Neurospora crassa OR74A: one gene and its partners. The protein of the gene in region 1 binds, or shares a complex with, the protein of each later gene. Links are inferred from orthologs where the notes say so. Each region holds a gene or a part of one and is shown in the gene's direction. Other genes may lie near its edges. The genes, in order: NCU02804, NCU06768, NCU08552, NCU06469, NCU07549, NCU07852 and NCU05714.

Evidence for each region.
Region 2: NCU02804 (region 1) and NCU06768 share a complex: the UniProt entries of both Schizosaccharomyces pombe proteins name them as parts of the mitochondrial large ribosomal subunit. The link is inferred for Neurospora crassa OR74A from reciprocal best matches to the Schizosaccharomyces pombe genes mrpl25 and mrpl16.
Region 3: NCU02804 (region 1) and NCU08552 share a complex: the UniProt entries of both Schizosaccharomyces pombe proteins name them as parts of the mitochondrial large ribosomal subunit. The link is inferred for Neurospora crassa OR74A from reciprocal best matches to the Schizosaccharomyces pombe genes mrpl25 and mrpl38.
Region 4: NCU02804 (region 1) and NCU06469 share a complex: the UniProt entries of both Schizosaccharomyces pombe proteins name them as parts of the mitochondrial large ribosomal subunit. The link is inferred for Neurospora crassa OR74A from reciprocal best matches to the Schizosaccharomyces pombe genes mrpl25 and mrpl12.
Region 5: NCU02804 (region 1) and NCU07549 share a complex: the UniProt entries of both Schizosaccharomyces pombe proteins name them as parts of the mitochondrial large ribosomal subunit. The link is inferred for Neurospora crassa OR74A from reciprocal best matches to the Schizosaccharomyces pombe genes mrpl25 and mrpl51.
Region 6: NCU02804 (region 1) and NCU07852 share a complex: the UniProt entries of both Schizosaccharomyces pombe proteins name them as parts of the mitochondrial large ribosomal subunit. The link is inferred for Neurospora crassa OR74A from reciprocal best matches to the Schizosaccharomyces pombe genes mrpl25 and mrpl23.
Region 7: NCU02804 (region 1) and NCU05714 share a complex: the UniProt entries of both Schizosaccharomyces pombe proteins name them as parts of the mitochondrial large ribosomal subunit. The link is inferred for Neurospora crassa OR74A from reciprocal best matches to the Schizosaccharomyces pombe genes mrpl25 and mrpl10.

What each region holds. Positions count from the first base shown.
Region 1 is NC_026501.1:9,063,934-9,067,644, reverse strand, and holds NCU02804 (mitochondrial 60S ribosomal protein L25), read left to right. Parts: upstream 1-1,662; 5' UTR 1,663-1,854; coding exon 1,855-2,249; intron 2,250-2,337; coding exon 2,338-2,398; intron 2,399-2,459; coding exon 2,460-2,495; 3' UTR 2,496-2,668; downstream 2,669-3,711. Other genes in the region: NCU02803 (pre-mRNA-splicing ATP-dependent RNA helicase prp-28), read right to left, coding at 1-1,349; NCU02805 (diphthamide biosynthesis protein 4), read left to right, coding at 3,087-3,711. UniProt on the Schizosaccharomyces pombe protein: Component of the mitochondrial ribosome (mitoribosome), a dedicated translation machinery responsible for the synthesis of mitochondrial genome-encoded proteins, including at least some of the essential transmembrane subunits of the mitochondrial respiratory chain.
Region 2 is NC_026502.1:2,003,280-2,006,941, reverse strand, and holds NCU06768 (mitochondrial 54S ribosomal protein YmL47), read left to right. Parts: upstream 1-1,741; 5' UTR 1,742-1,977; coding exon 1,978-2,418; intron 2,419-2,502; coding exon 2,503-2,644; intron 2,645-2,713; coding exon 2,714-2,880; 3' UTR 2,881-3,015; downstream 3,016-3,662. Other genes in the region: NCU06767 (replication factor C subunit 1), read right to left, coding at 1-886, 950-991, 1,048-1,093, 1,156-1,261; NCU06769 (activator 1 38 kDa subunit), read left to right, coding at 3,429-3,515, 3,576-3,662. UniProt on the Schizosaccharomyces pombe protein: Component of the mitochondrial ribosome (mitoribosome), a dedicated translation machinery responsible for the synthesis of mitochondrial genome-encoded proteins, including at least some of the essential transmembrane subunits of the mitochondrial respiratory chain.
Region 3 is NC_026503.1:4,950,942-4,955,123, reverse strand, and holds NCU08552 (mitochondrial 54S ribosomal protein YmL38/YmL34), read left to right. Parts: upstream 1-1,581; 5' UTR 1,582-1,878; coding exon 1,879-1,893; intron 1,894-1,977; coding exon 1,978-2,062; intron 2,063-2,375; coding exon 2,376-2,671; 3' UTR 2,672-3,190; downstream 3,191-4,182. Other genes in the region: NCU08553 (DNA directed RNA polymerase II 15 kDa subunit), read right to left, coding at 3,541-3,585, 3,651-3,740. UniProt on the Schizosaccharomyces pombe protein: Component of the mitochondrial ribosome (mitoribosome), a dedicated translation machinery responsible for the synthesis of mitochondrial genome-encoded proteins, including at least some of the essential transmembrane subunits of the mitochondrial respiratory chain.
Region 4 is NC_026503.1:1,524,304-1,528,553, forward strand, and holds NCU06469 (putative mitochondrial 54S ribosomal protein MNP1), read left to right. Parts: upstream 1-1,840; 5' UTR 1,841-2,058; coding exon 2,059-2,259; intron 2,260-2,526; coding exon 2,527-2,856; 3' UTR 2,857-3,390; downstream 3,391-4,250. Other genes in the region: NCU06468 (midasin), read right to left, coding at 1-1,255; NCU06470 (hypothetical protein), read right to left, coding at 3,600-4,250. UniProt on the Schizosaccharomyces pombe protein: Component of the mitochondrial ribosome (mitoribosome), a dedicated translation machinery responsible for the synthesis of mitochondrial genome-encoded proteins, including at least some of the essential transmembrane subunits of the mitochondrial respiratory chain.
Region 5 is NC_026503.1:4,405,649-4,409,618, reverse strand, and holds NCU07549 (mitochondrial 54S ribosomal protein MRPL51), read left to right. Parts: upstream 1-1,628; 5' UTR 1,629-1,809; coding exon 1,810-1,851; intron 1,852-1,935; coding exon 1,936-2,018; intron 2,019-2,320; coding exon 2,321-2,612; 3' UTR 2,613-3,064; downstream 3,065-3,970. Other genes in the region: NCU07548 (hypothetical protein), read right to left, coding at 1-175, 442-547, 634-761, 868-1,129; NCU07550 (triosephosphate isomerase), read right to left, coding at 3,149-3,177, 3,241-3,849, 3,945-3,970. UniProt on the Schizosaccharomyces pombe protein: Component of the mitochondrial ribosome (mitoribosome), a dedicated translation machinery responsible for the synthesis of mitochondrial genome-encoded proteins, including at least some of the essential transmembrane subunits of the mitochondrial respiratory chain.
Region 6 is NC_026503.1:1,107,651-1,111,921, forward strand, and holds NCU07852 (mitochondrial 54S ribosomal protein YmL23), read left to right. Parts: upstream 1-1,530; 5' UTR 1,531-1,858; coding exon 1,859-1,879; intron 1,880-2,023; coding exon 2,024-2,554; 3' UTR 2,555-3,169; downstream 3,170-4,271. Other genes in the region: NCU07851 (superoxide dismutase 1 copper chaperone), read right to left, coding at 1-518, 680-871; NCU07853 (uricase), read right to left, coding at 3,392-3,498, 3,583-4,271. UniProt on the Schizosaccharomyces pombe protein: Component of the mitochondrial ribosome (mitoribosome), a dedicated translation machinery responsible for the synthesis of mitochondrial genome-encoded proteins, including at least some of the essential transmembrane subunits of the mitochondrial respiratory chain.
Region 7 is NC_026503.1:604,215-608,655, forward strand, and holds NCU05714 (mitochondrial 54S ribosomal protein YmL10/YmL18), read left to right. Parts: upstream 1-1,523; 5' UTR 1,524-1,648; coding exon 1,649-1,989; intron 1,990-2,114; coding exon 2,115-2,712; 3' UTR 2,713-3,351; downstream 3,352-4,441. Other genes in the region: NCU05715 (sorting nexin mvp-1), read left to right, coding at 4,231-4,441. UniProt on the Schizosaccharomyces pombe protein: Component of the mitochondrial ribosome (mitoribosome), a dedicated translation machinery responsible for the synthesis of mitochondrial genome-encoded proteins, including at least some of the essential transmembrane subunits of the mitochondrial respiratory chain.

The sequences.
Region 1 (3,711 bases):
TCCATGATTGTGTAGCAGCACTGAGAGAAGACGAGCAAACGTCTTTCAAGGCAGTCCACGAGACGACCAGGTGTGGCGACAATAATCTCGGCACCGTTCCGTAGAGCAAACGCCTGCTCTTCGAGCGAGTGACCACCCACAATACTGACGACTGTAAATCCGAGAGGTGTAGCAAACTTCTTGGCCTCGCTCTCAATCTGTTGCACCAGTTCTCTTGTTGGCGCCAGAATCAGGGCATATGGACCGTCGTTCTTGTTGTACTCGGTCAGGGGTGGTAGTTCGGAGATGTAAACCAGCAGAGGCAGCAAGAAAGCTGCAGTTTTACCGGAACCCGTCACGGCCACACCGATCAAGTCGCGTGCTTGAAGGGCAATGGGAATGGCAGCTCTCTGAATCGGCGTCGGCTCGTCGTAACCCACGTTCTTGACAATGTCGAGCAGACGCCTAGGCAGCGTGGACTCTTCCCAACTGCGCATAGGGTTGGGAATGGCACCGCCCTTGGTGGCAATGCCAAAGTTTTCCTTGAAGATACGCCAATCGCGCTCCTTCATGTCCTCCAGCTTCTTCTCGGACCAGTGCTTGCCCAGGTTCTTGCGCTGTTCCATCTCCTTGATCCGTCTGTGTTGTTCCAGGTATTGCCTGGCGCGCTCCTCGCCCGTCTCGGGATCGCCACGACGGATGGCTTCGGCCTTCCGCATCACCATCTCTTCCGTCATCTCGTAACCACCAAGTCGGACCAGAGGCTCTTGACGCTCTGCGTAGATGGGGTCGAAGGGTCGGCTAGTGTCGTCATCGGCATCCCAGTCAAAGTTGAACTTGTTCGCTGCCGTCCTCCTCCTCTTCTTCTTGGCCGAGAATGTGGACTGATTTACTACTGGACCCATGTAGCGGGCGCGCAGCTCTGCCTCGTCGTTCCTCTCCATCTTGGCTCGCTTCTCTTCGTCATCGTTGGGTGCGCCGCGTTTTGCGCCCCGTTGGTTTCTGTCTCGGTTATCTCTGTTGTCGCGATTGTCTCTGTAGTCCCGACCGTTGCTCATGCCGTTGGGTCCCCGGTCATCGTCGTACCGCATCGCCTTGGGTCCGGTTGGGATGTTTCGTTGAGGGTTGTGGTTGTGATGACTCTGGATACCGTCCATGCGGTTGCCGTTATGATTTGTTCCATTTGGTTGAGGCTTGGCTTCTTCCTTGCGCTTGCGTTCCTCTTCTTCCTTTGCCTTTTTCTCGGCTTCTAGCCTCTCTCGTTCCTTTTTGGGGATGAATCTTGGTTTCGCGGCGGCGGCTTCTTCCTCCTTCTTCTTGCGCAGCAGTGCTGCCAGGTCTGGGGGTTCCCGTCTTGATGTCGTGCTCATCGTGGTAGTGTATGGAGTTGGTGATGAATCGAAGGAAGAGACTGGTCGGAGGCGACAGTGTTGACAATAAACGTGTTGATTTCCAAGCAGTGCTGGGTTCCGGAATGGGGTTGTTGTTATGGCGAACTTGGGTGGTTCTGGGGTGCAGCAGCGGTGCAGCACAGTTCTCGACCCGCCCAAAAGTTATGTCACGGTTCAAGGTCGGTGATCCCTGTCGTGCCTGTTCAAGGGTCTCCACATGCCCCGCCTTACGCGGGGGGTTAAAGAGGTCGGGTTAGGGCTCAAAGTGTAACTTCCGGCTGTCGCTATGTACCGTTTCGCGACCTGGAACTTTTTCGCAGTTGGGGTCCCGTCGGCGGCCGATTGATCGCAAAGTTCCCCGTTCCGGTTCGTTCGAGCAATCCGGACCCTGTCACCTACGACAAAAACAAACAAACAAACAACCCCCCCCCCCACCTCGACCGACACAGTACCGCCAGCAGGCCGGTCGATCGACATCTTCACCATGGCGGCCACGGTGAAGCAGCACGTCCAGCTGGCGCTTTCGCTCCCACCGCGGTTGCGCACCTTCTTGGCCCGGTACCCGCCGGCCTCGATCCTGCCCGCCGGCGCCGACCCCGAGACGCACAAGACGCCCTACCAGGAGGAGAGCCCGAACCCGTTCATGCCCACCAAGCACCCAATCACCGGAAAGTGGCACAACCCCAAGTACTCGCTCAGGCGACAGGCCGAGCTCGTCAAGCTGGCCCAGGAACACGGCGTCGAGGAGCTGCTGCCCTTCACCCGCAAGCTCAACGAGGAGAAGCTACGGAAGAGAGTCGAGCTCGGTCTCCGTGTCAAGGGTACCGGTGTTGGAGAGAAGGTCAAGGGTCACAAGCACGAAAGGACACTGGTTGCCAAGTACGTTGTCGATCCTCGGCTGCTGCTGCTGCTGCTGCTGCTGGTTGGGAGGAAGTGGTGGTTTGCTGACGGTGGATTTCGCACACAGGATGGAGAAGAGGAGAGAGGCCATGCTGGCTATGCCCGACCTTATCCGGGAATGGAAAAAGGTAAGGATTGCGCCCAAACTCTTGCGGTTTGCACTCTTGTTAACCATGGGCTTCGCTACAGGTCGGCAAGAGGAACTGGACCAAGTTCCCCAAATAAGCGATCGGTTGTTGTCGCTTGTCGGGAAGATTACAACGAGAGTCACTGCCATGTCCATAGACTGTATCATCACCAACAATGTACAACAAATTTCAAGCCATTTGGAAGGGGATTGCCATCAATGTGGTTCTGTTTCCCGGTTGTTGACTGAACGTCCTCTGGCGTCTTATAAGACGGAGTTCCCCACTGTGGTTGGAGGCCGAGACGAGGTAATGTGTCTAACGGTGCAGTAAAATTTCCCCCCCGAATTTGTTTCTCTGAACAACTCACTTCACGATACCAGGCACACAACTAAGACTCAAACCACCACGTGAGAACCGACACATCACACATCCTCTTTTTTTTGCCTATTCACATTTCCTACTGTATACAGCAACATAACAAGGGCAGCGAGCGCAAAGAGACACGTGATTGCGGGATACAAACTTTTCTCTCGAAAGCTGCTCGACGCAAACCACCAACCTTTCACCACTTACACGTCGATACATTTCAACACCAAACCGGTCTCACAACCATACCATTTTATACCCGGGGCCGCACTACCAAACACCACATTGAACACCAAACCGCAAAACCACCAACACATCCAAGATGTCCCAACCAACCTTCTACGAAATCCTCTCCCTCTCACCCACCACCTCCGACCTCACCCCCGCCTCGATCAAACAAGCCTACCGCCGCGCCCTCCTCACCCACCACCCCGACAAGTCTTCCTCTAACTTCTCCTCCTCTACCTCCAACAGCCACTCCAACAGCCACCCCAAAGGACATCACCCCCCAAAAACACGCTACACAATCGACCAAATCTCCCTCGCATACACCACCCTCTCCTCCCCCACTCTACGGACCCAATACGACGCCGCCCTTCGCTCTTCTTCATCTTCTTCTTCTTCTTGCTTCACTACTACTAGGAAAGAAGAAGACGACGACTTCCAAACAGGCATCGACACCATCGACCTAGACGACATGGTTTTCGTACCACACGAGACCTCGTCCTCCGCTGGTATTAGTCGTAATGAAAAAGACACATGGTACCGCCCCTGCCGGTGCGGCAACGAGCGGGGCTTCGCCCTAACGGAAGAAGACCTGGAAGAGAATGCCGACTTGGGGGAGGTGTTGGTTCAGTGCGCGGATTGTACGATTTGGTTGCGGGTTTGTTATGTGGTTGCTGAGGATGATGAGGAGGAGGAGGAGGAGAAGGAGGAGAATGGGGATG
Region 2 (3,662 bases), on another chromosome or scaffold:
GAGTGCTTGGGCTTCCTCACGCGCGATAGTCTTGAGCAGGCCGGTGAACACAAAGGTCTTACCCGCCAGACAATCAATTTCACCTTCAGGAATGTCGGCAGTGCCCGCCATGGGGGGTGGACCCGCATTGCCAGCTCCGGCGGCCTTGGTCTTCCAGTCAAACTTGACGTTGGGGTCTTTGGGAGGAGCATCTGGTGCTTCAATTGTGGGAATATTGTCGAGGATCTTCTTGACGTCCTCGGGTTCTTCAACCGCCGCATCCTTCTTTGCCCTTGGCGCACGGGGCTTAGCGGGGGCTCCCTTCTTCTTCGCTGGCTTGACTTCTTCTTCCTCTTCGTCTTCCTCGTCACTTATAACAACCGAGGATTTCCGCTTCCCTGCCGTAGTAGTTGTAGATTTCTTGTTCGGCTTGCTGGGTCCAGGCTTGACGTCTTCGTCGTCAGACTCGGCTACGGCTGCTGTTTTGGCGCGAGATGCCATTCGCTTGGGCTTGGGGAGGAGCTCCTCGTCACTGTCCTCCTCGGCATAGTCGTCGTCCTTTTTCCTCTTGCTGCCACCCTTGAATTCCGCCGCAAATATGTCCTCTCCAGCATCGTGCTCATCATCCATGTAGGCATCGCCATCGTCATCCTTGTCGTAACTCTTGTAGGCCGTCGTGGGTTTCTTCGTAGTCGAGGTCTTCTTTGTAGTAGTCTTGGGAGGCTCTGGTGCTTTGGCAGCGGGGGTGGCTTTCTTCCGCGGGCTTGTTCGAAGCGCTACTTTTGGTTCTTCTGGCTCGGGTTTTGCGGGTGTCTTTTTCGGTGTTGACTGGGACGCAGCAGCAGTTTTTGTTTTTGAGGTTGCAAAGTACTTGGCAGCATCGGTTTCAACTCCTTTTACGGGTTCCCTAGATAGTCTGTCAGCAGGAATAGGATGACATGGAACTGAGAGGTGTTTCATAAACACTTACGCTACTTTCTTCTTTGGCGCAGCCTTGGTTGGCTTTTTGACTCTACACATGCTGGTTAGATGCTAGTTCTGAGAAGAGATGCTTTTCACTAAGCTTACTCAACAACCTCGTCATCTTCGCTGTCCTCAACAACCTTTCTTGGCCCTGCGACAAGATTGTTAATATAACGTGATAAGCTTGTGATGGCGATCATGGTTCAAGCTTACTACCCCGGGTCTTCTTCTCCTCTTCCTTCTTGGGTGCTGGTGTTGCCGGCTTAGCAGGCGGCGCGCCACCTTTTGGACCAAAAAACGAGCGAATGTCGGCAGGCATGATGGAGTATGTGAGAAGAAATCACTGGATACAAAATGATAAATTGAATGTGTCAAAAGGTTGGGAAGATGTAACAATCAGATGACACCAGCAAGCATCTTCTTATAGTGGCGGAGTTGGGAAGTAGGGACTTTTGTTCTTGGTGTCTGAGTTGTCCAGGCAGCTGTCCTTCTGCCTAACAAGTGTTGTTGAACAAAAGGCCTAGAAGGGTAAAGAGCTAACGGGTCGACTCTTGTCCCTTGTAAAGACGGAAGTAACAATTGAATGATGAGTGAGACGCGAAGGTGAAGTGGATGACGCGAGTCTGTGTCCGGGCTCTGCTCCCCTGTCGCGACTGGTGGGGCCTTGTCCTACAAGAATTCGCCAACTTGCTGCCTTGAGCTACGCCCACGCAGCTGTATTTCTTGTGAGGAGTCAATGAATGAGTCCCAGGTCCCGCTTGTCTGCTGTGTCCGGCAGATTCCATGTCGCGGCCGGCACCCGACACTTTTTGGTGGGTCACAATTTTTGGAAGTGCCGTCCGTGCCCCGTCCGCGCCCGCAGCACCTTCCATTGCAGGTAGTCGCTCTGCCCGGTCCCCGTCTCTGTGCGCGCGCTGCTTCGGGGAATCCGTATCAATCGTCGTCGGCGACCGGCATCCAATTGGACCCTCCCTCCGTCCTCCGTCCACCACTCGTCCCCTCCCCGGTCCGGTCCACACCCAAACCTTCAACACAATGAAGCACAACGCTTCCTCGGCGCTCCTCAGCGCCTTCCAGGGCCTTAGGATATCCTCGTCGGCGACTCCCTTCCGTGCCGCGTCGCTCGCAACCTCTGCCGTCCGTCGCCCCATTGCGCCGACCCCCGTTTCCGTCGCCTCCCATGTCCGCCTATTCTCTGCGACCGCCATCCAGGCTGGTTCGTGGCTCGAGCCCAACCTCAACAGAAAGAAGAAGATGATGAAGGGAAGGCCCAGAGTGCCGACGGGTGGTTCGACCAAAGGAACAACAGTGGTTTGGGGAGATTACGGCCTGCGCATGCGCGATCACCACCGCAGAATTAGCGCCCAACAGCTCAAGCTCGCCGAGGACACCATCAAGCAGAGGTTGCGTGGTCAGAAGTACCGCCTGTACAAGCGCGTTGCTTGTAACGTCGGTGTGTACGTCAGCGGTAACGAGGTGAGCAGCTGAACAACCCACAGCCCGGGAAGGCCGGATGCCGACTGTTAGCGGACATGAGGCTCACATGCATTTCCGGTGTAGATGCGTATGGGTAAGGGTAAGGGTTCGTTCGACCACTGGGCGACCAGAGTTGCCGTCAACCAGATTATCTTCGAGATCAGGGGGCAATTGCACGAACAGGTCATCCGTGATGCCTTCCGTTTGGCCGGACACAAGCTTCCAGGTAATAACAGCACATGCTGGCCCAAAATCTTTGCGAGGTTGAGAAGAGTAGAAAACTGACAAGTCATAGGTCTGTACGAGTTTGTGAAGAAGGGTGACCCACCAGTGGTTGGCATCACCAAGTTGGAGGATGGCCTCACGGTGGAGGACCTCAAGAACCCAAGGAAGAAGTTGTTGATGCCAGAGATTACCCAGAGTGCTGCGAGCACATCAAGCACTGCTGCTCCTCCTTCGTAGAGGTGGAGAACCCTGAGCCTATTCTAATTGTAACACTATGTAGAACAACAGAAGGGCCAATGTGCAAAAGAGTGTTGCCATGGCCATTTCATGATTATTATGACGACGTAACAAGCATCACCACTTTGATTTCAATGCTCTGAGAATGTGTCCGTAAGCTACTACCAGTTTACCTGGATGGGCCAGAGCACCACATCGAGTCAACAAGCAATGCTGGCTTCCTAGATATACCCTTTCAACCATGCCATGAAATGGGCCCTATACTAGATGTCGGTTCATGGAAGATCCAATATCCAGCATCGGACGTTGCAAAACTCAAAGAGATTCAAGATAGCTGCCTAGAATACTGATGGCGAAAGTGGGCAACTGTCTACCCCAGGGCCTGTATAAGCGGGTGATATGGTCCGTGCGGCCATCCCCCGTCATCTGTTAATTGATTTTCTGGACGGCGCGTCAACTCGACGCGTCTCCCATGCACCTCCAATCCAGCATTTCTTTCCCCTTCCGTTGTCAACCCATTTTCCTCTCCACAATATCACCACACCACGATGGCGCTTATTGTTGACAAGCACAGGCCGAGGTCTCTCGATGCCCTCACCTATCATACCGAATTGTCGGAGAGGTTACGGTCACTTGTAAGTAGACCCTCTTGTTCCCCTCGTGCAAAAGAAGCTCCCCGCTGATGACACTCCTAGGCGCAAAGCGGTGACTTTCCCCACCTCCTCGTCTACGGTCCTTCCGGCGCAGGAAAGAAGACGCGAATTGTTGCTACCCTCAAGGAG
Region 3 (4,182 bases), on another chromosome or scaffold:
TTCCCGGTCGACGTCTGCAAACAGAAAGAGCGGATGCGATATGCGCCAAAGGAAGTGGTCAGATCAATACTGTAAGTGTCGAATCGGCGAAGGAGCGAACAAAGGCACACTCTTGTTTCCGTCAGCAATTGAGAGCTGAAGCTGACCGCAAAGTGAATGAATAGTGCACTCTCTCGGCCTCAGGTCTCACGATGTGTGTCTGCAACGAAGCCAAGTGCAGCCAATGCGACTCGACAGTGGCTGACAATGACAGGCGCAGTCAAGTGATGGTGGTGGTGGTAGTGGTGACAGCCAAGGTCACAAAGTATTGAAATTCAAGCTGAAGCTGCAGCTTTGATCGAAAGGGACAGACTTGTTGTTGTTGTGGGTGGTGGTTGACGGGAGGACAAGGACGTGGTCGCGAATGAGGTTGCAAAGAAGGGCGGGCGGGCGGCCGAACCCTTGAGAAAGCTGAAGAGCTGAGTGGGAATGACTGGGGATGGAGGTCAAGCTTGGGTGAGGGTCCTTTTGCGGTCCGAGTCTTGTTGGTGGTTGGTCGGACTCGGGGGGAAATGGAGTTGGAGTGGTCCGGCGAGGCGGGTTGCCGTCATATGTATTCTTGTACTTGTTGTCTGTCTATGAATTCCTGAACTCAAGTGTGAAAGTGCGAGGAAACTGCAAGGTGGTGCGGGCTTCTTGCTTTTGGCTGCAGGGATATGAGGCAATAGCCTTGTTTGAGGGCCTTGCTATTTTACCTGGAGCTGTAACAGGAAGAACAGCAACAAACCGTTTGGTGGCAGTGAAGCTGAGGTGAGAATAAGCTGAAGCTCAAGGTAAAACTGCTCAAATCGATTGGAGAACAGGGAAAAAGGGGACGAGCAGAAACAAAACAAAAGGGGGCCCGGCATTGCAAATCTTCGCCTCTTTACTCCTCTTTTCACGATCCCACCTGTTGCCGTGGTAGCGGTGGTCTAGCCAAATTCCGAAAGACACAATTGGAGAATCAGCCGACGGGGGAGCGGGGACTTGGGGGAGAGTGGGAGACACCATCCTGGCTGGAGCTTGGTTGCGCCGAGGTTGTCATTGGTGGTTTGGGTCAGGGCTGATGGAATGTTTCTAACCAGATGGGGATGTTGCTAGCAATGGACGACTTGAGTCTCAACGATCATCTGGGGTACGCTTTCAGAGATGGGTACTGTATGTATATCGCTGTCTAACTTGCCTCTGGAGTCGTCGGGTAGAGATACTATGACAAGCTGTTTGCAAGCTGACTTGAGATGGTACATGCCCGGGCTAGCTGTCTGATTGTGTCCAGAATGGCCGCACTCATTATCTTCCTTGACAAATACAGACGATTCAACAGTTCATTGTCCAATAATGACTTCTCATAAAATGTGCTCATTGTTAAACTCTTCTTAACATCAACTACGGTCATTGAGTCCTCACATGTTCTGTTGCTGATGCCTCAGACTCTCACACTTTCAGAGCTTCAACTACAGCTACTTCCCGAAAGCGTTAGTGTAGTCAAAAAAGCAGCTATGTAAAGAGCATGCATGAGACACCCCTCCCGACTGGCTCCACACTCTTCGTCCAAGTTTTGGCGCGTCCCCTTCTTCTCTCTTTTCTCGCGTTACTTAGGAGCCTGCTTACCTAATGCAGGGTACGTACCTCTAACCTGGCATCCCCGTCCCGCAAACAATTTTCGATGGGGTCCCCGCGTCCGGCGGGCACGACGGACAGCAGCCGGCCGGCCGGTCATCAATCAATCAATCAATCGATCGATACGCGGCGTCAACCGTGGAATCCCCATTCAGTTGCCGGGTTTCGGTCCTCTCGACAGCCAACTAACTTCAGCCACTACTCGCTCGGTAACAGGGACAGAGTAACCGGTTGCCCAAGATGATTCAACTAAAGGTTTGTTTTTTTTTCTTCTTCCCTTGCTGTCGAACGAAAGCAAAAAGAGTTTGGTTGCTAACGAACCATGCGAACTGCAAACAGACGATGCTCAACTGCATCGACAACTCGGGTGCTGCCCTGGTGGAATGCGCCATGGTTGTCGGCCAAAAGAGGCATGCTTCGATTGGTATGCTTTCGAATTCCCTTTCGATTTCCGTTATACACCCACGAACCCATCGTCGACTCGAGCATATCATATCTACACGAACTACCCGATCCCTCTTTCGTACCCCAACACCAACACCGTCGTCGCCGTTCATACCCGTCCCATCCCGTCCGATTCTTCTCGTCCGACCAAGGAACATCTGGTCTTATACACATATCATACTTGCCTCTTGCCCCTCTTGTTCCTCCCTCCCCCTTCTTTCCCCCCTCTTGTCCCCCTCCCCCTTCTTTCCCCCCTTCTTTCCCCTCCTCATACCTCAACTAACAGAAGAAAGGCGACCGCATAGTAGTAGTCGTCCAAAAACAGCGCGGCGCCGACTCGGCCGGCATGGCCGCCTCTTCGGCCGCCACCAAGGTGAAGCGCGGCGACATCCGCCACGCCGTGGTAGTGCGCACCAAGCAAAAAGTCCAGCGCCGCGACGGTTCGGTCGTCCGGTTCGACGACAACGCCTGTGTCTTGATCAACAAGGCCGGCGACCCGATCGGATCGCGCATCAATGGTGTGGTGGGCCAGGAACTGCGAAAGAAAAAGTGGAGCAAGATATTGAGTATGGCGCCTATGCAGGCTTAGCTAGGCTTGATTGATCGATCAGGGAGGATATATGTACGATGGATGTAGCGGGAGAATCAAGATGGAATGAAATATGAATACCCGTAAAGAAAAAGAGTTGAGTTTGTTGGGGTGGGATGTGGCGTGACGCTCCTTGAAGTGAAGAGGAGTATGCTCGGTGGGATGTGTCATTGCGGTGACTTGGTGACTCTCGTGGGGGGTTTGGGTGTCGGCTCAGCTTGGGTTGGCTGTGTTGAGGTAATGACTGACGATGAGCGCTACGGAACATCACTTTGTTGATATCTGACGGAACTGTGGTTTGTGTGTCTACGGATTTCCAGGATGGACTTGGGATGGCCTGGCGTATACGGGTTTGAGACTGCGACGTTGTTCTCAAGGTACGACGGCTTCACACACCGGACATCACACCAAAATATGGTCTCATCGAACGGCCTTTCTTCAAGCGCCATTTTGGGTAACGATCAGCCAGCAGCAGCCGTCACATCAGTCGATTAGGTTTACCAGTCACTTCAGTTCGGGACATCAAGCGTGCCGTCCTAATCTGTGTATACTACTGTACATTACATGTCATGTCAAGCAAAACAACATCACCATTGCATATCACACGAAACAGTTTATAACGTTATCCACGAGATTCATGGAAAGACCATTTCTAAACCAGTGTCCTGCCAAAGCATGAAAAAGAAAACCAAACGCCCTAAACCGCGGTCCTTTTGAGTTAACCGTGTACAAACGCCACTGTAATGCAACTCATCATGACCCCCTGATCTTTATTAATCAACCTGTGATTTTTTCCGACCGCCCGCCTGTCCGCCTATAACAAGGATCGATCTGGCCCTATTCCTTCCGAGTGAAGAGTGAATCCCCCACTACTGGTAAATATTACCACAATCGCAGCAGACGTAGAAAAGTTTCTGAAAGTAACGTTGTTAACCCATGACTCTGGTGAGCCCCTCCCAGGCAGGTGAGTGAGTCTTACCATTCCGGTTTCCGAAGTACGCTGCTGTGACTGGAAGAAGACAGCTTCCGGGTGGTGGCAGGCAGGGCATTCCTTGATGGCTCTTGGGAGCTAGATAGCAAACGAAAGAAGAAAAAGAAGAGATTAGTCTCGATGCAAGCCAGAGCAAATGACAAGAACAAGCCAAATCCAGGTCATCGCCTCGCGGACCAGACCCCGCCACCAGACGGACGGAGACTTTTGGGTATGCGCTGTGCTATGCTATGCCGTGCTGTGTGCCAGTCGTGTCGTGTGTCGGGTGCTGTAATCCCGAAGGTGGGCGAACAACCGCGCCGCCATGATTATAGATGTATTATAATCCTGATGTAATGGGTATGCCGTAACCGTAATCGCTGTGACCGTAAAATCAAAAAGTCGTAACCTCGTGAGAGCGGGAGATGCGTCGTCTGCCGGTCATGTCCTAAGCTGCCGGGACTTGAACAGGCAGTTGGCTTGATGCCGCCAACTCCGTGTCGGTGTCGTCGAGCTCCATGTTTTCAGACTCGATGGAGTC
Region 4 (4,250 bases), on another chromosome or scaffold:
TTAGCAGCTCTCCTCGCTCAATGAGAGGCAGCAATGTGCTCATGACTTCTGTTGGCGCGCGATCGAGATCCTCAATCAAGACCCATCTTCCCTCCTTGACGGCAGTGGTCAACACACCTGGGCGCCACGAGAAGGAACCGGGTTTCGAGTCGGTGGTGTATAGCCCAAGCAGCATCTTGGCGTCGGTTTGCTCGTTCAGGTGTAGTGTCACTAGTTGCTTCTGCTTGCCTAACTCGCGCGCAATCTCGTGGACTAGGGAGGTCTTGCCGGAACCGGACAGGCCGTGGAGGAGGATAGGCCCGGGTCGTTGCAGGCACCCGGTGAGGTTCTCGAGGTTCTCAACAGTCGTCGGGGTAAGTGCGAGGGTGGTGGGAGCAGTCACAGGGCCGAGGGGACGCGGGAGGACTGTCTTTCCATATTTGACAACTAGAGGAGTGAGGTTCTGTTCTGGGATGTTTGTGATATTCAATTCGACAACCGCATCGTCAACCGCACTAGTTTGTTGGGATTTACTGCGAGAGCTCTGAATGTCTTCACGTCTAGAATCCTCGTGTAGGCTGAGGAACGCATAGTCGGCTTCGCGCCCGTCGAGCTCTGCGACAAGGCTGGTATCTTTGGGTATGTGCTTTTCGAGGAGGGCTTCGATCTTGACATCGGCGGCATTATGAAGCTGGCAGAAGATTCGGACGGCAAGATATCGGACGATGGGGTTCTCGTGTGCGAACAGGGTCTGTATTTGGGATGGCTTTGACAGGCCGGCGTAGGTGCGCTTGTCAAAGTTGTTGAGCCTCCAGAGGGCTAGGAGGACAATTGGGAGGTCATCTGGGCGGATCGAAGCTAGGTCAAGGGAATCGAGAGGTTTAAGTTTTGAAGAAGCATCATTGTCGTTGCTTTTGTCGTTGTGGTTACCACCATTAACACCACCAAAAGATCCTCCTCGAAGATGCGACACGAGGAAGACGGACAGCGACGGGGCGAAGGGCAAGATCCTTGCGAAAGCGGCAAGGACTCGCGTATCGAGTTTTGGAGAAGACAGAATCCATCTGGCGCAAATATCGGCAAAAACAGACTCGAAATGGGTAAAGATGCGGTCGGTGGCTGTCGAGACAAGAGCGGCGCTGGCGATCGCATCGAGGAATTTGGTCGATTGGTGATCCTGGATTATGAGCAGCAACTCTGGCGGCAAGAGGTCCAAGGTGGTCGCATCGCTAAGGAGCGACGCCCTCTGCTGGCTCACATCGATCACGGCCATCATGGCCAGGGAAAAGCGACGGGACGGGTTGGCGTGGATGTCGTCGTCGTCGTCGTCGTCGTCGTTGTGAAAAACGGTGATGTTTTTCTTAGTCTCTTTTTTTTTTTTATCTCTAACTTTTTTGCCCATTGAACTTCGCTTTCTCCCGTTTGGAACTTTTTCCCACATGAAATTCCTTATCGCGCTGAACGATAGTGCGGGGTACATGCTACTTAGCGCTAGGCGCATGTGCTGGGGTGTACTGCATAGTACTCTACATAGTGTAGTGTAAGTCGGCTGCGGCAGGCAAGGGAGCCATCTTCTTCAAAAGTGGAACCTAGTTCCGGGTGGGACGAACAGCCCAGCGGCAGCAGGGGCGCGCTTGGGATGACAGGGGCCCATCCTTTAGCGCGTCTTCAGTGGACTTCAAGGTACAGAGGTACCTAATCCCCAGACTCGCGCGGGGCAGGCAGCTTGGGTTTTCCCCTCCAGCTGCAGCTCCGGGTCAGCCAGCCGTCATAGATCCAACTTGCACGCCCAAACCACCAAGCTGCCAACTGCCAGTAGTGGGTCCCAGATTTCGCAGCACCCGGGAGCGCGCGACAACGTCCCCAAAAAAATATCTCCGTTTAGTTGTTGTACGGTTCGGTTGTACGATCCTCGAAGTCGACGTCGACGGCAAGCCTCCCTCACCAAAAAAAGAGAACCCCAATCCGACCGCCCCCGCGCGCCCTCTCTCTTTCCTTCCTCCGGTCCGAGTCCGACTCCCCTCTCTCCATCCATCCATCCACACAACCCACCACCACCAACACACACACATACCAACAATGTCTCTCTCGGTTCGCTTCGCCGCGCAATGCGCCGCCCGCCAGCTCCGCGCATCCACCCGGGCCTCGAGCTCCCTCCTCGTCCAGAAGCGCTTCGAGTCCACCGCCGCCCCTGCCGCCAACCCCAAGATCGCCGCCATTGTTGACCAGATCAGCACCCTGACTCTCCTCGAGACCTCGGAGCTTGTGTCCAGCCTCAAGGTACGCCCGATTTAAATAAAGCACGAGAAGAAGAACAACCGGGGCCGGGAACCGGGACACACAAAACCCGAATCGGAGCATGTTTCAAGGTTTCCGGATGTTTTTGCGCCCCGGACCCGACCCGACCCGACCCGGCCCGGCCCCGGACAGACAGACAGACAGACAGACCTATCTTATACTACCTAGACTCTCAAGTCGCACACATGTACATGGGCACCAACACTAACACTCACTCTCTCTCTCTCTCTCTTCTTTTACACAAAACAGTCCCGCCTCAACATCCCCGATCTCCCCGTCGGTGGTTTCGCCGCTGCCGCCCCCGCCGCTGCCCCCGCCGCCGCTCCCGCTGAGGAGGAGGAGGCCGCCCCTGCCGCTGCCGAGAAGACGCTGTTCACGCTCAAGCTCGAGAAGTTCGACGCCGCCGCCAAGCCCAAGGTCATCAAGGAGGTCAAGAACCTGCTCGGCCTCTCCCTAGTAGAGTCCAAGAAGTTCGTCGAGAGCGCGCCCAAGGTCATGAAGGAGTCGGTACCAAAGGAGGATGCCGAGAAGATTGTCGCCGCCATGAAGGAGCTCGGCGCCACCGTCACCATGGACTAAACTGCTGCTTCTGCCTAGTAAAAGGGTTGGTTGCTATGGTTATGGTCTCTGTGTGGTGGTGTGGTGGGTGGAGGCGCCGTGTGTGTGTGTGTGTATGTGTGTTGTTGTTTTGTAGGATGGTCACGTCCCTCCCCCGCAGAAAAAGAACCAAACGAGGAGATCTTTTCCTGACACAGATGCCGGAAAGATATTTTCTTTTTTTTTTCCTATAATGATGATCATGACGGGACAGAGTTGGAAGAAATGCCAGGGCCTTGGGAAACACATAAAGGGGGATTCTCGGTCTCATCTACATTATATCCTCATGGGGAAAGGGGGGGAGTGGCGGACACAGATTCCTCACAACAACATATACCACTTGTACGTGTACAAAAAGCAATGAAACATGTAACATTATATCATACTACGAGAACTGGGATGGATAGAAGAACGGGTTGTCAGCGAAAACATGAGAGTCTGTCGACGATATTACCGTGAGCAGATGCCGCTTCTGAGTTAATAGTATCTCCCCACTTTCGCTTATGGATACCGAAGATAACTAAACAGCCAAAAACATAAACGCCATCCCATGCATACCCCATGTATCGGTAACTTCCTTGTTTCTTATTCTCAACCTCCTTCTCCTTGCCTCCTTCAATTTTCTTCTTTCTATCGCACTCCTACCAGCGCGCCTCTTGTATCCACCACCCGTGTCATTCCTACTGGTCTTGAATTCCCAGGTTCTCTTCTCCTCCGTCGGTTTCCTAACCCGAAGTCATCTCCACATCTTTATCTTGCTTCTCCTGTTGCTCCTTTTCCAGCTGCTGCAGCTGCTTCCTCCTCGCCATCTCGGCAATCTCCCCACTAATCGACATTGGCTTTTCCTTCATGTTATTCCCATTCATACCATCATCCCTCTCACCCCCGTTACTGGTAGAGGTAGTATGCCCACACCCCGCACCACCACTCCCTCCAATCCCTCCAATCCCCGCCTGCAAACTCCTCTCCCACTCCTCCTGCTCTTCCCATATCGCCCTCATGTCGTCATCCCCCAACTCTGACGTCTCCTCCAGCAATCTATCCAGCTCGTCTCCGCTCGGCACCGCCCAGATGTTCTCCCTCAGCCTCTTATGCCGCTCACGATCCTCCTCGATACGTTGCTCAACTTGTTTCTTGTCGAGACGAGGGGCGGCAGTGTTGACGCCTCCGCCGCGTTTGCTCAAATTGCTATGCTGTTGGTTGCTAGAGGAAGGTCCGCCGGCGGCATTGGTGGCGTTGGTGCTGGTGGGGAGGGTACCTGCTGCTGCTGTGGAAGAAGATGGAGGAAAAGGAGGAGGGTAGGAGGAAGAGTGGATGGCGGTTTGCGAGGGGGGCATGTTGGTATCGTATCCCGATGCTGCTGCTGAAAGGTTGTT
Region 5 (3,970 bases), on another chromosome or scaffold:
CCGCCAAATCCACCGGGACCCATGGGCCTAGCGGGCATTGCCTTGGTGTAACCACGACCACCAAGGCCGCCACCGAGACGACGAGGTTTCCATCCCTTAACCGTGCGGCCTCTCTCTACATCGACCTTGATGCGGCGATCCTTAATACGGGCGCCATCACAGCCATCTAGAGCAGCTGGATTGCGCATGCGCCACAGGCGCAGGTGTCAGTAAGGCCTTACCATGAAGAAACAATACTACCTTTAAGGTATACGACGTGGAAGATGAATGGATAGAGGGAAGACGAAAAAGTTTCCGCAGGACAGGCAAGCTTGAGGGCCATTCGAGTCCTGGTTGTGGGCTTACAGAAAAGCACCGACAGCGGGCGTTTCCTTGTCTGTGTGTGCTGGTTGAATGTCAAGAAGAGGGGGGGGGGGGGGGTCAAGGGGGGCTGGTCATTACCTCTCATGTCCTTTTCGCGTTCGAAAACGACAAAAGCATAGCCACGATGGGGCTTTTTCTTCTTGTTTGGGTTCTCATCGGCGTGGGTATCTCTGATGATACGGATCTGTTTTTTGGTGTCAGTTCTTGTCAATTAACACACACATAGCTGTGAAATCATGATATAGGAGGAGGGGGGGTTTGCAAACTCACACGCTCGATAGGACCGTAGCGGCTAAACTCGCGCTCGAGATCCTGTTCATCAGCACGGTAGTCAAGACGCGCTACTATCAACGTCTTGAAAGCATCTCCTCTGATGTTGGGATCGTCATTAGGGTTGTCTACAGATAAACGCCATCGGTTAGCAAGCCGCACGACAGCAAGATCATGATCAAGTAAAGGAGTAGCGAGCACAACTGCGCGTAACGTTGGGGGTTTGCCGCGTACAATTCTTGGGACCCTCGGTCAACAGCTTCTCCAAAGCTTCCTTCTTCTCGCGCTTCTTGCGGTCGCGCGCCTCCAGCCAGCTCTCGGTGGGATGGTACTCGTATTCTTGCTCGTAGGCCTGCATGGCAGGAAGGAAGTCGGCAACGGGGGTGATGAAGGCCGACTTGCGCTCTTCGGGAGCAACATCGCAGGGCGGCACCCAGCGCAGAGGTGGCCGGGGCGCAAAGAGTGCGAGGAGGTTAGGCGGGAGCCGGTCTGTCATTGTCGCTTCACGTTGTCGCTGTTGTAGCTGGTCAAGTGGTGTTTTTTTGTTGATCTTATCTGTCGTCGAATTATGAAATCGATATGTCGGAAACCAGGAAATGTAGGTCGTCTGGCGTTTGATCCACTGTTCGGAAAGCCGGGCGAGAACAGTTCAATAAGGCTGAACGCTGTTACTGTTTGCCAATTCTTGTGATGGCGATAATGTGGTGTTGTCGGTTTGCGAGAAAGGTCAAACCCGCATTTTCGCGACTTTGCTTGGACAGCTGAAGACGAGAGACAGAGGGTGGGAGGCGGGAGCAGCAAAGGGCCCTGTCTGGTGTTGTGTCGTCCACTGCCTGGCAGCCTCGCAGCGACTGGAGCTCTTGCTGGGCAGCTTTCTCGCGCGCTCGACCACCGAACGACTGAGTGCGAAAGAGGGACCGTGCACCCTTAGGTCGTCTTCGTTATCACTACGCACACACCCAAGGAGGAGTGCAATCGCGTGAAATTGATTCTGCCAACCGCTTTTGCAGTTGGGCGGGTCCCCCACCCCCAGTGCCGTGCCGGCGCGCGACGGGGCGGGAGTCTGGCAGAAGTTCAAGTCGCACCCGCCCTCCGGATCATGAACCCTGGTGGACTCGGACTTGTTGCAAGGCGAGGACGGCGGCGAAGAAGAAGAAGAAGAAGAGCATCACAACAATGACGGTAAAAGCATTGACGCAGATCTCCTCTGCCGGCCGTGTAAGTTAGACCGCAGCCTGAGCAACTAAAAACTTTAATTTTCAGAAAAAAAAGAATGCTAATCGTTGATTGTTTTGTATCTAGAATGGCGTCGGCGCATTCGTCTTGCAGTGCAAGAAGTTGGACATCCACTACAGTGACTGGGCCGGCAGCTCCCGGGGCATGAAGTACGTTTAGGATTCTTCGAATATGGACATCGCAACCTCATTCCCGATCGAACATCTTTCACATATACCAATACCTCTACACGTCCAACCAAACCGACATCCTCCCAAGATCTCGAGACCATCCCGCCGTCCCCGACCATCCATCCATCCATCCATCCACCACTACATACCCTTTTTCTCGTCCCTCCTCGTCCCTCCTCGTCCCTCCTCGTCCCTCCTCGTCCCTCCTTATCCCTCCAGTCTCCCTTCGCGACCTCAGCAGACAGACTCTTTCACTAACACTTACTTCTTCCTCCATCTAGCGGCTTCATCAAATCCCTCCTCCCCAAATTCGCCGCCGCCAACCCGCAAATCGAGTTCGTCGTCTCTCCCCGGCCCGCCAAGCACCCGATCCTCATGGGCCACTACATCAACGGGCGCACCAAGGCCATTTGCGTGCGCAACATGGAGCCGCTCGAGATCCTCAAGAAGGCCGAGCTCCTCCGCGACGCGAGCGGCGAGAAGCCCCAGAAGTTCAAGAAGCCCGTCACCAGCACGAACCCCAGTGTCAGAGGTGTCTGGTCGCCTTACCATGGGCAGGGTATGGCTGTATAAAGCGGAAAAAGGGGGAGGAGCAGGTGCTGGTGCTGGTGCTGGAATGGACTGGATCGGTGCTGGGCTGGATTTGGTGCTCGGCCGGTGTTGGCTCGGTTCAGTACCAGGTGGATTGTATATACCATGTTGAATGTATGAATATGAATTGAGGACATGAAAAGGGTTTCTGGATGTATCAAGGGTTTCGGTTTGGCTATATGGTTGTGATCAAGTCCTTCCAGAGCTATCGAGTTCCCATGATGAGTTGCCCCAGTTCCAAAGAATCTGACATTATCTTCTGGTGCTTGGTGGTTGACTGTTGATATTGGAACTTGGGATGAACATCTAAGAGCGAATGGAGGAGCCGCGGAGTTGCGGTATCTGGTGTCACAGAAGTCATGAACGGGCTACATGAAGCGAAACTACGTTCTTCAATCCCAAATCGAACAAAATCAGGACATTTAACTATTTTATATTTTCGCCGTGTCCTCAACACCATTTCCCAGCCTATATGATTGCGGCTGTAGCAAAGCTATAACTTTTTATGGGCAAGTAATTTACAGGTTGGCGTTGATGATGTCCACGACTGCATCATATCATGTTAGCCATCTTTCTTCCTCTCGTTGCAACAATGGCAGGTAGTACTTACACTCGGGCTTCAAGCTGGCACCGCCAACAAGGAAACCGTCAATGTCCTGCTCCTTGGCAAGGTCCTTGCAGTTCTTGGCGTTGACAGAGCCACCGTAGAGGATGCGGGTCTCCTCAGCAACCTTGTCGCTGACGTTCTGCTTGAGCCAGCTGCGGATGGCGGCGTGCACCTCCTGGGCCTGCTCCTTGGTGGCGACGAGGCCGGTGCCAATGGCCCAGATGGGCTCGTACGCGATAACGACGTTCTTCCAGTCGTTGATCTCCTTGGCGAGAGCGGCGAGCTGGTTCTCGACGAACTTGATGGTCTCGCCGGCCTGGCGCGTGTCCTTGGACTCGCCGCAGCACCAGATGACCGAGATGCCGTTGTCGAGGGCGTACTTGGTCTTGGAGGCAATGAACTCGTCCGACTCGCCGAGCTCGTTGCGGCGCTCAGAGTGGCCGAGAATGACCCACTTGACGCCGAGATCCAGGAGCTGCGTGGCGCTGATCTCGCCGGTGAAGGCGCCGTTGGGCTTGTTGAAGACGTTCTGAGCGGCAACCTCAACGTTGGGCTTCTGGAGGTTCTGCTTGACGAAGTCAAGGTAGAGAGCGGGAGGGGCGATCACGACCTCTGTTTATGTTCTGATCAGCATTTGAGCAGTGTACTGCTAATTCCACCCTGTCTTTTTTTTTTTTTTTTTTTTTGTCCTGGCGTTGCAGACATACCGGCGTTAGGGTCCAATTGGGCGTTG
Region 6 (4,271 bases), on another chromosome or scaffold:
CCCAATACGCCGCGCGGGGCGTTAGGGTCTCCAGAGATCTGCGCCTTGGTGTCGGCCGTCAGCGTAGCAGTGCCGGACCACACCGGGCCGGCCGACTCGACACCCCGCGCAAGATCGCCGAACTCGCGGATCGTAGCGCGGTAAGTACCCGGCGCGATGCCGCGCAGCGTGAGGTCGACGAGCGTGGTCGAGTTGTTCACCTGCACCATGCGCGCCAGGCCGCGGACCATGCGGTCCGAGGCTCCCGGGGCGGGCGTGATCTTGTCTAGGGTGGGCTTGTGGTAAGTCTCGAGGATGCTGACGGCCGCGCCTTGAGAGTCGCCGGAACCGCGCAGGATGGCGTCACGGCCCGTGGACTGGATGGCGTTGACGATGGCGGAAGGCGCGGCCGTGCCTTCTATCGTGAGCAGCTGGTCCTTCAGGTTGGCCTCCACTTTGTTGATTCCGGGGAGCTTGTAGAGTGCACCGGAGACGTCGTTCACGCAGCTTTCGCAGTGCATGGGCACGGCGAAGAGAGTCTGTGAAATGAGTTAGTATGATGTGCCTCTGGAAGTATGTCAAGGTGAGTCAGATATGTGAGACAGGCTTGGACCCTTTATCTAAAGAAAAGGAAGGGCTTGGACCGAAGCTCATATGTAGGCATATATGAAAATGAGGCTGTAAAAGGGTATAAACAAACCTTGAAGGGGGTTGTGATGGAAGCCATGTTGCCGGCTATCTTCGGGATTGATGATTTGGGAGCAGCCGGGGATGACTGTGACTGAAAATAGTTCCTATGTTGTTGGCGTTGTTGCCAAAGGTATGCGCCTCCAAAACCTGCTAAAGCTAGACTAGAAATACTTAGGATTTGTCTGGCCGTGTACGGTGGCATCGGTTTCAGGCACTAAGAGGTAGCAAAGACAATACTGAGGACAGTATAGAAGTGGTGGTGTGAGAAGCAACACCAACGTGAGACGATGGATTTGTATAGAAGGCGATGGAGGAGAGCCCCACGTTCGGCGAAGGAGGGGACGACTAGGTACAATTAATAACGTTTTGGCTCCAGTCTACGGATGCTTAAGAGACGGGGTAAATGCGACTCTTGTGCTGAGATTCCTCATTGTTTCTCGACAAGAGAGTGCATGAAGTCACCTCACTGGAGTGCGAAATGTCGTTTTCCCATCTTCACTGTAAGACGGCAGGAAGGTAGATGTCGGCCTGCCAAAATGTTGATTTCAAAGCGACGGCACCTTTCTGGGACCACTTTTTGCGGGCGACCAACTGGGGCTCCGCTGTGTCCGGCTCCTCGATCGGCCCAAGCCAGGGCAATCCTGCTCCCCGAAAGCGTGTGATATGTACCGGGAAAGGAAGTGCAGGCTTTGGTACATGGGACATCAGTAAAAGAGAGCTCTAAGTGCGCCGAGTTGGTGTTTGTTAGTGCTTTCCTCAATTACACACTAAGACTTGCGGACCACCGTAGCCACCCCGCCAACCGCCAGCGGGCCGTCGTGCCCCAATCGTACGTGGAAATTTTCCGGCAAGAAAAGTGATTGCAGCTTTTGGGCTTGGCAGGCTCTGCTGCTGCCCTTCTGCAGGAGCTCCATTCTGCTTCCCGTGATACCGGACCACATTTGATACCCGTTCGCCGCGACAAGCCCCGGACTTTCTCGCGCCTGCCGAACCCGCCGTCTCGAACACTCCGGAGCCCGCCCGATCCCGTGTCATTCAATTGACCCGGACGATAACACATAGAGGTTCACTTACCACCAGTCGATGAGGGACTCGTTCCCACTGGTTTTCATACCTGCCTTCTCCACCTTAATCCTCTCTTGAACACCATAGTATACGACCTACATCACCACCGCGCAACACCGTCAACATGTCGCAAACAGTCGGAGCTGTAAGTTTCTTCCTGTTCGGACACAACTGTCCCATAATTTCGTCGTGTTTCTTACAATTTTGGCACTTGCTCGCCCTCCCGCCACCACCACCACCACCTCCACCACCCGTCACTAACCACCGCCGTCTTGCGACGAACGTGTAGACCCGACTAGCCTACTCCCGTGTCTGGCACCACATCTCCGCCGTCACCCCTCACCCCACCCTCTCGACCATCAAGGCTCCTTCCGAGGCCATCACTCCCCCTTCTCTCGGTCGCCTCGCCTCGCGCATTGCCACCATCCTGATGGGCAAGCACAAGCCGATCTGGGATCCCTCCACCGACTGCGGCGACTACGTCGTGGTGACCAACTGCGCGGGTTTGTACACGACGGGCCACAAGAAGTGGCGCAAGACGTACTACCGCCACAACACCCGGCCCGGTTCGCTACAGGCCATCACCATGGATGCGCTGATGGAGAAGCACGGCGGCGCCGAGGTGCTGCGCAAGGCCGTCAGCGGCATGCTTCCCAAGAACAGGCTGCGCGACAAGAGACTGGCGAGGCTCAAGGCGTTTGAGGGTGATGCGCACCCGTACAAGGAGAACTTGGTGCGATTTGGCGGTAAGGTGGTGGGCGCTCCAGGTTGGGAGGAGGCTGTCAAGGCTATCCGGGAGGCGGACATGGAGAGGTTATGAGCGACCATGGCTTTGAGGTGTGAAGGTCTGGTTGAAGGCGCTGGAGCTGGCTATCTACTCATGGAAGAGTGTCAGAGAAACGGGAGAGAAAGAGATGTAGGGACGAATCTACATCGAGCCGTTACGAACCATCTAGCCGACGAAGACTGAGAACTCTGTCAACTGTGAGGAAGATTGTGTGGACAACCACCTCGTTGGGGCGAGAAATCTCTCTCGTGTGTTCTTGTGTCTGTTACAGCCCACTTGGCCGTGTGATTCACGGGCAATGCCGCCAGTGTCAGTCTGTATATTACATGGGAAGCCGGTTCATGAGCCCAGCGCGCAACGGACAGTGTACGAACTTGGGTTAGAAAAAGGGGGCCTCTCATTGTACAAATATATCACTCAACAAGATACCATGATTACGACTCATGAGAGCTGTTTAGACTCATTGATTGTTTGATCTGATAAGCGATGAGCAGATCCTCATGTCCAACACGCTGAAGGCCCGCGAAGGCAAAAAGTCAGCCTCACCGATTTCACGGCATATTTTTTCACTTGGTAATTCGAGAGTGCAGCTAGCAGTGCTTTTCGGATGCTTGCTTGTTCATAATAGGAAGTTTATTTGATTACCCCTGAAAATTAGCGCCAGTCAAGATGTCCATAGCCTCCGTCTCATGATGATCCGTTGCATCAAGGTATCATCATCTTTCCACCTTCAAAACGTACGCCTGCCCGCCAACCAACCCCTCGGAACGTGAGGGGGAATGCAAAAAAAAAGAAGAAAAAAAAATGGTGATATCATAAAAGAAAGCCAAAGAAACATGTGTGACGTTTTAAAAACAAAGTTCAACAGTCTTACGAGCGAGAGACCTCGCATTTGATGAGACCGTTGGGACCAGACTGGGGAGCGTACACCTCGGCGTCCTTGCCGGTGTTCTGGAGGCCCTTGTGCCAACTGAGATCTGTTTTTTTTTTTTGGGTGTTAGTGTAAATTTATCTGGACCTATTTTTTTTTTTTTTGGTGGATTTGCGAAAGGGGTACTCACCAACTTCAAAGTAGTGCTTGTTGGGTAGCGAATAGTTGGTCTTCTCCGTCTCGGGTACCGCATCCAAGATCTGCTCGCACATCTTGTACATAGTGTTCTGTACCGACGCCGACTCGTCTTCCGCAAATGTCTTGAGCGTGATGTTGCGGGCAGCCTCCCACGCAGCGTCGAAGCGTTCAACACCGTCCTGAACGGCCGCCAGGTTGGCACACTTCTTCCAAGTCCATCCGGCATCCACGTCGGTGGAGAGAATGCGGTCCCACGTCTCCTTGAGAGTGGTGAACTCGTCACGGACGAAGCCGTGAAAGGCGGATCCAGTGCTCTTGAGCACCTGGAGGCCGACGATGCCGCTCTTGATGGTGATGCCGTCCCGAGTGACAGTGGCCTCGACGTTGCGAGTCTCCTGGCCGTCGCGCAGGAAGCTGTGGGGGTGGGGCTGGCCGTCAATGACCATGCGCGTCCAGCGGTGGACGGTCACGTCAATGTGGGCGGCGCTGATGTGGGCATACTTGTCGAGAAAGTGTTGGCCTAGGATACTGGCGTACAGCTCGGGAGGGTTGACAGGGTGCTCCTTGGCCTTGATGTAGATGGTGTTCTTGATGGAGTCGGTAGCGACAATAACGCTGTTATCGGCCTGGGTGTACGAGGTGTCGATCTCGCCCTCGAGAAGGCAGCAGACGGTCATCTCG
Region 7 (4,441 bases), on another chromosome or scaffold:
AAGAACGCGAGTTGCGCAAACGGTTGGCATTGAGAAGGCAGCCAGGAGAGACATCGATGTGGACATCCTGATAATCCATAGAGACAACGACGTTTGAAAACATGAATCAAGACCGAAGAAAGAACCGTAAACATATTGAACGTCAAATGAAAGAGAAAGTAGTCTGGCATTCAAGTCGTATTGAAACTGACCCAGTTGCTTTCCTAAAAGGAAGGTGCTATCCATGGGTGGTGAGGGCTTGACTTGTACACGAAAACGATCAGGTCGCTGCCGCAAACATGACCACATCCATGGGATCTTTCCCGCTCGCAAAGAAACCCATTTATCAGCCCCAAGACAGAAAGCAAATATTGAGAGACCACATTTTTGAGGCCCTGAGAGGCTGTCCAATTGACATGAAGAGCAAAAAGCTCGGTCGCCCAGGTAAGTTTGTAGAACGAACGACAATACCCCAACTGCAGACCTACGAAAAAGCCACACATTTTCATCAACGGGAACCACTGTGCCAAAAGATCACAGAGTTCCGTTATGCCAGAGAGATCAGTTAGGGAACCCGACCTTATATAATACCTGTAGGCTACAGCAGAGGGTACTAGAGGTTTGCGGCCTGGGCGGGAAGGGATCTTGTCATCCGATGTTCCCGTCGGTGAAGGGCGTGCCGACCGATTGCCGGTGGCAGGAGCGGTGGCAGGTACCTGGCGCGTGGTTTGGGCTTGGGACTGACATTCCATGCTTGAAATTCAGACAGACTTGAGTGAAAAGCCATTTCGGAGCGGCGCTTCTCTGCTTGACTTGGAAAGTTCCATCACGATCGGTTATGTTTATCCCGCGAAATGACTGCACGCTGTCCCTTGCTCTGTTCTGCAGTAAACGTTATCCGACAGCAAAGAAGGCTTAACAATTACATTCTTTCTATCAGCCATACAAACACCTTCAGTAAATCAAAGTAACATTCAGGCAATTCCAGCGTGTATGTCACTCATGCCATTCTCAACACTCCCGAACCCCACCAGCTCGATTGGCTCATGGCTGACACAGAACCCCCTTCGACACGCCCTACTTCAGGACTTCTGTGTAATTCTAGCGTAGGTCGCAGTTGAGACCCATCTATAATAGGTTTCTAGTATGAGCTGCTCTTGGCTGCCTGTTTTGCGTTGCTCTCAAAGGCAATACTTTAAGCATCCCACAGTTGTACTTGCACAATATTTTCTCAACGCACCTCCAATGGCCTCGGGACACTCAATTTATGATCATTCCGACTGGGTGGAAAAATTCCCTAAACTCGCACCAGATGTTCTTCAGCCTGTTAAGCCGCGGTACAATCACTCTTAGGGACTTTCACCGCACTGAACCTTTGACATGTTCTTGCATATCCCGTGTAAGTGATATCGAACATGGATATTTTGGAGCATCACGGTCCCTTGGCGAAGGACGTCGGATGTGGACCAGCTGCTGACTCAGCCGCCCATTCGCAATTGACCGAGACCAACGAGGGCGCACGGTCCACCCCCGCGACGCAGGTGTCGGAATTTGGCTGGGCGCGGGTCCTGAACTTTTGTTTTCGGGGAAGTGCCGTTGCCGTGAGGAACGGAATCCGGAAGACTGCCCGACCCAGACCCAACCCACTCCCGTGTCCTCCGCCTCCGTCATGCCTCCCAGGTTACCGCTCGCCCAGGCGGCGCGATGCTGCCAGGCCTCCCTCACAGCCCGCCCTTCGGTCCCAGCCTCGTCGCCGACGTCGTCCCTCATTTCGCTCTTTGCTGCCCTCTCCGTCCAGACCAGGAGCGCATCCATCCTCGCCAGCCTGTCCGACAACCGGGGCGCCTACCACAAGCGCATTCGCAAGGGTCGCGGTCCTTCGTCCGGCTATGGCAAGACTGCCGGTCGCGGTACCAAGGGTCAGAAGGCCCACGGTCATGTTAAGCCATGGTTCCAGGGTGGTCAGACGCCCTTGATCGTCTCTCACGGCCGCAAGGGTTTCGTTAACCAGTATGCCGTCCCGACTTCCCTACCTCGCTTGCTATGCGCCATGGCCAAGAACTCTCCAGCATGCTATCCGATAACCTATACCTACCAGATACATGATGGAGACTAACCATTTGTGTCTTTCATAGGTTCGCTGCCGACATGTCCGAGCTTAACCTCGAAAAGCTTCAGGAATGGATCGAAGCCGGCCGTATCGACCCCACGAAGCCCATTACCCCCAAGGAGATCATCAAGTCCGGCATCATTGGCAGCAGCATCAAGGACGGCATCAAGCTTCTCGGCCGCGGCAAGGAGAGCTTCAAGATCCCCGTCACCATCACCGTATCGCGCGCGTCCGCCTCCGCCATTGAGGCCATCGAGGCTGCCGGCGGCAAGATCGTCACCCGATTCTACACCAAGGAATCGCTCAAGCGTCTGGTAGAGGGCAAGTCTCTTCATACCGACAAGCCGCTGCCGGTGGGCAAGGAGCACGTGGAGGAGATCCTGGCGCAGGCGCGATCGCTCAAGAAGAAGTACTACCGCCTGCCGGACCCGACCAGCCGTTGGGATATTGAGTACTACAGAGACCCGGCGCATAGGGGCTACCTCAGCCACCAGCTTGCGCCTGGCGAGTCGCCCAGTTTGTACTTCAAGGTACCGACGGGCGGCGAGAAGGTCAAGGTGGTCAGGGCCGACAAGGTCAAGGCCAGCAAGACCGGGGATGTGGCGTCGGAGAAGCTCTTCTAATGAACACGAACATTGCCTGGGATGGCGGTTTTTCCGAGACTCGTTGTTGCGCTCTTCCTCGTTGTTGTATGATAGGTACTGGGCCCGTTCATGGCTCTGTGCTTTGTGTTGTATTATTATCATCCGCGTATTGTCAGTCCAGCGTCTTGCTCCTCGGATCAGTTCTATTTGGGTCCTTGTACATCATACAGGTCTCACCTACGGGAGTGGATTCCCACATGCGGCCAGCACTCCACTTGCTGACAACGCAGGTGAATCATGAAACTCCCTTGATTGACGTGTTCCTGCTTTTGCGATCCATCGTAGTTCGAAGATGGGCTTTATAAAGTAAATATCACTTGGCTGCGTGTTGACATGGTCCAAACGACGGATCTCGAAGACTTGCTGTCCCGTACCTGGCAGTCGGAAGAACAGCCATTGGCCAGTGACATGTCAATCCCGCAAGCTGACCCCGGTCAAGTCCCGGTCCTGGGCGGTCCCCGGCCATTCCTTCCAGGGCAGCTTCCACGGGGACGGTGAATGGGGGCATTAGAAAATATGGGTCTGATCACGTGCCAGGTCGCTTTTGGTACCTTCTCCATACCAGCTTGTAATTACGTCCGAAAACAGCCGTCAATACCCGACTTCTCTGCAAATTACCAATTAGTGTTAGGGTTAGTTAGGGTTAGTTAGGGTTAGTTAGGGTTAGGGTTAGCTCCGGGGGTGCAGGGGGCCGGTGAGAGGCCCCCGCATGTGAATGTGAATCGTTAATATTGACATATGTCAACCATATGCCGACCATATGTCTTGTAATTACGGTAATTACACGGGTGACTTTCGATACCTTCGGCTTAAAGAAAGTGGAGTATGCACGGACCAGTCTAATGCCCCTAATCACCATGCCCAGCTTCCACAGCGGGAACCGTCCACTGAAGCCACTGTATGCAGCCCTCCCGAACGGGATTGTGTCAGCTTTGGAGTCGGCGCGTGCCCTCCACCCACTCTGCCCGCCGCGGCGTCATCATTGATGCATCTTGACTTTTCTTTCCTCGAGCGGGAGAGACCAAACTTTGTCGTTGTCAACATCACGACCTGCTTCAACTTTTTTCTTCATTTCTGTGTTTCATTTTCTTCTTTTTCTTCTTCTTCTTCTTCTGGCTGAGGTTGCCATAATCTCATCATTAACTTGTTCACTCTTTGGTTCTTCCATCTTCAGCCCTGGCCCATTGGGGTTGTTCCTTGCAGTGCCAATCCTGACGGAGCTTATATACCTACGTCTACACTACCAGTGGCGGTACCTACATCCAACAGCCCTCCAACAGCCCTCCGTTGCATCCAGATTACGAGTCGCATTGCGACGCTGCTAGTGAGATTCTCTGCGTCGACTGTTGCAGAAACCGAGCCTTGCAGAGTGGCCTCACATTTTGCTTCAACCTCGCCTTGCGCCGAACATCTTCACTCCTCCAACCGACTTACACCGTGAACCTACCTACCTACCTTGGGTTGTCCGCCCTCCAAGCTCTCTCCAGCCAGCACAACATGTCGCTCTTTGGCAGCTCCCCTCCCAACGACGGCTCGGCCGCCCTCAACCCAGCCAAGACCGCCAACAGCAGCCGCTCGACCCTCTTCGATAACGAGGCGCCCACCACTCGCTCCGGCAGTGCGCTATTCGCCGACGATGACCACGATTCGCCCTGGGACATGCCCACCCCGCGCAAGCAGCGCAGCCGCGCCGATCTGATCCGCAACC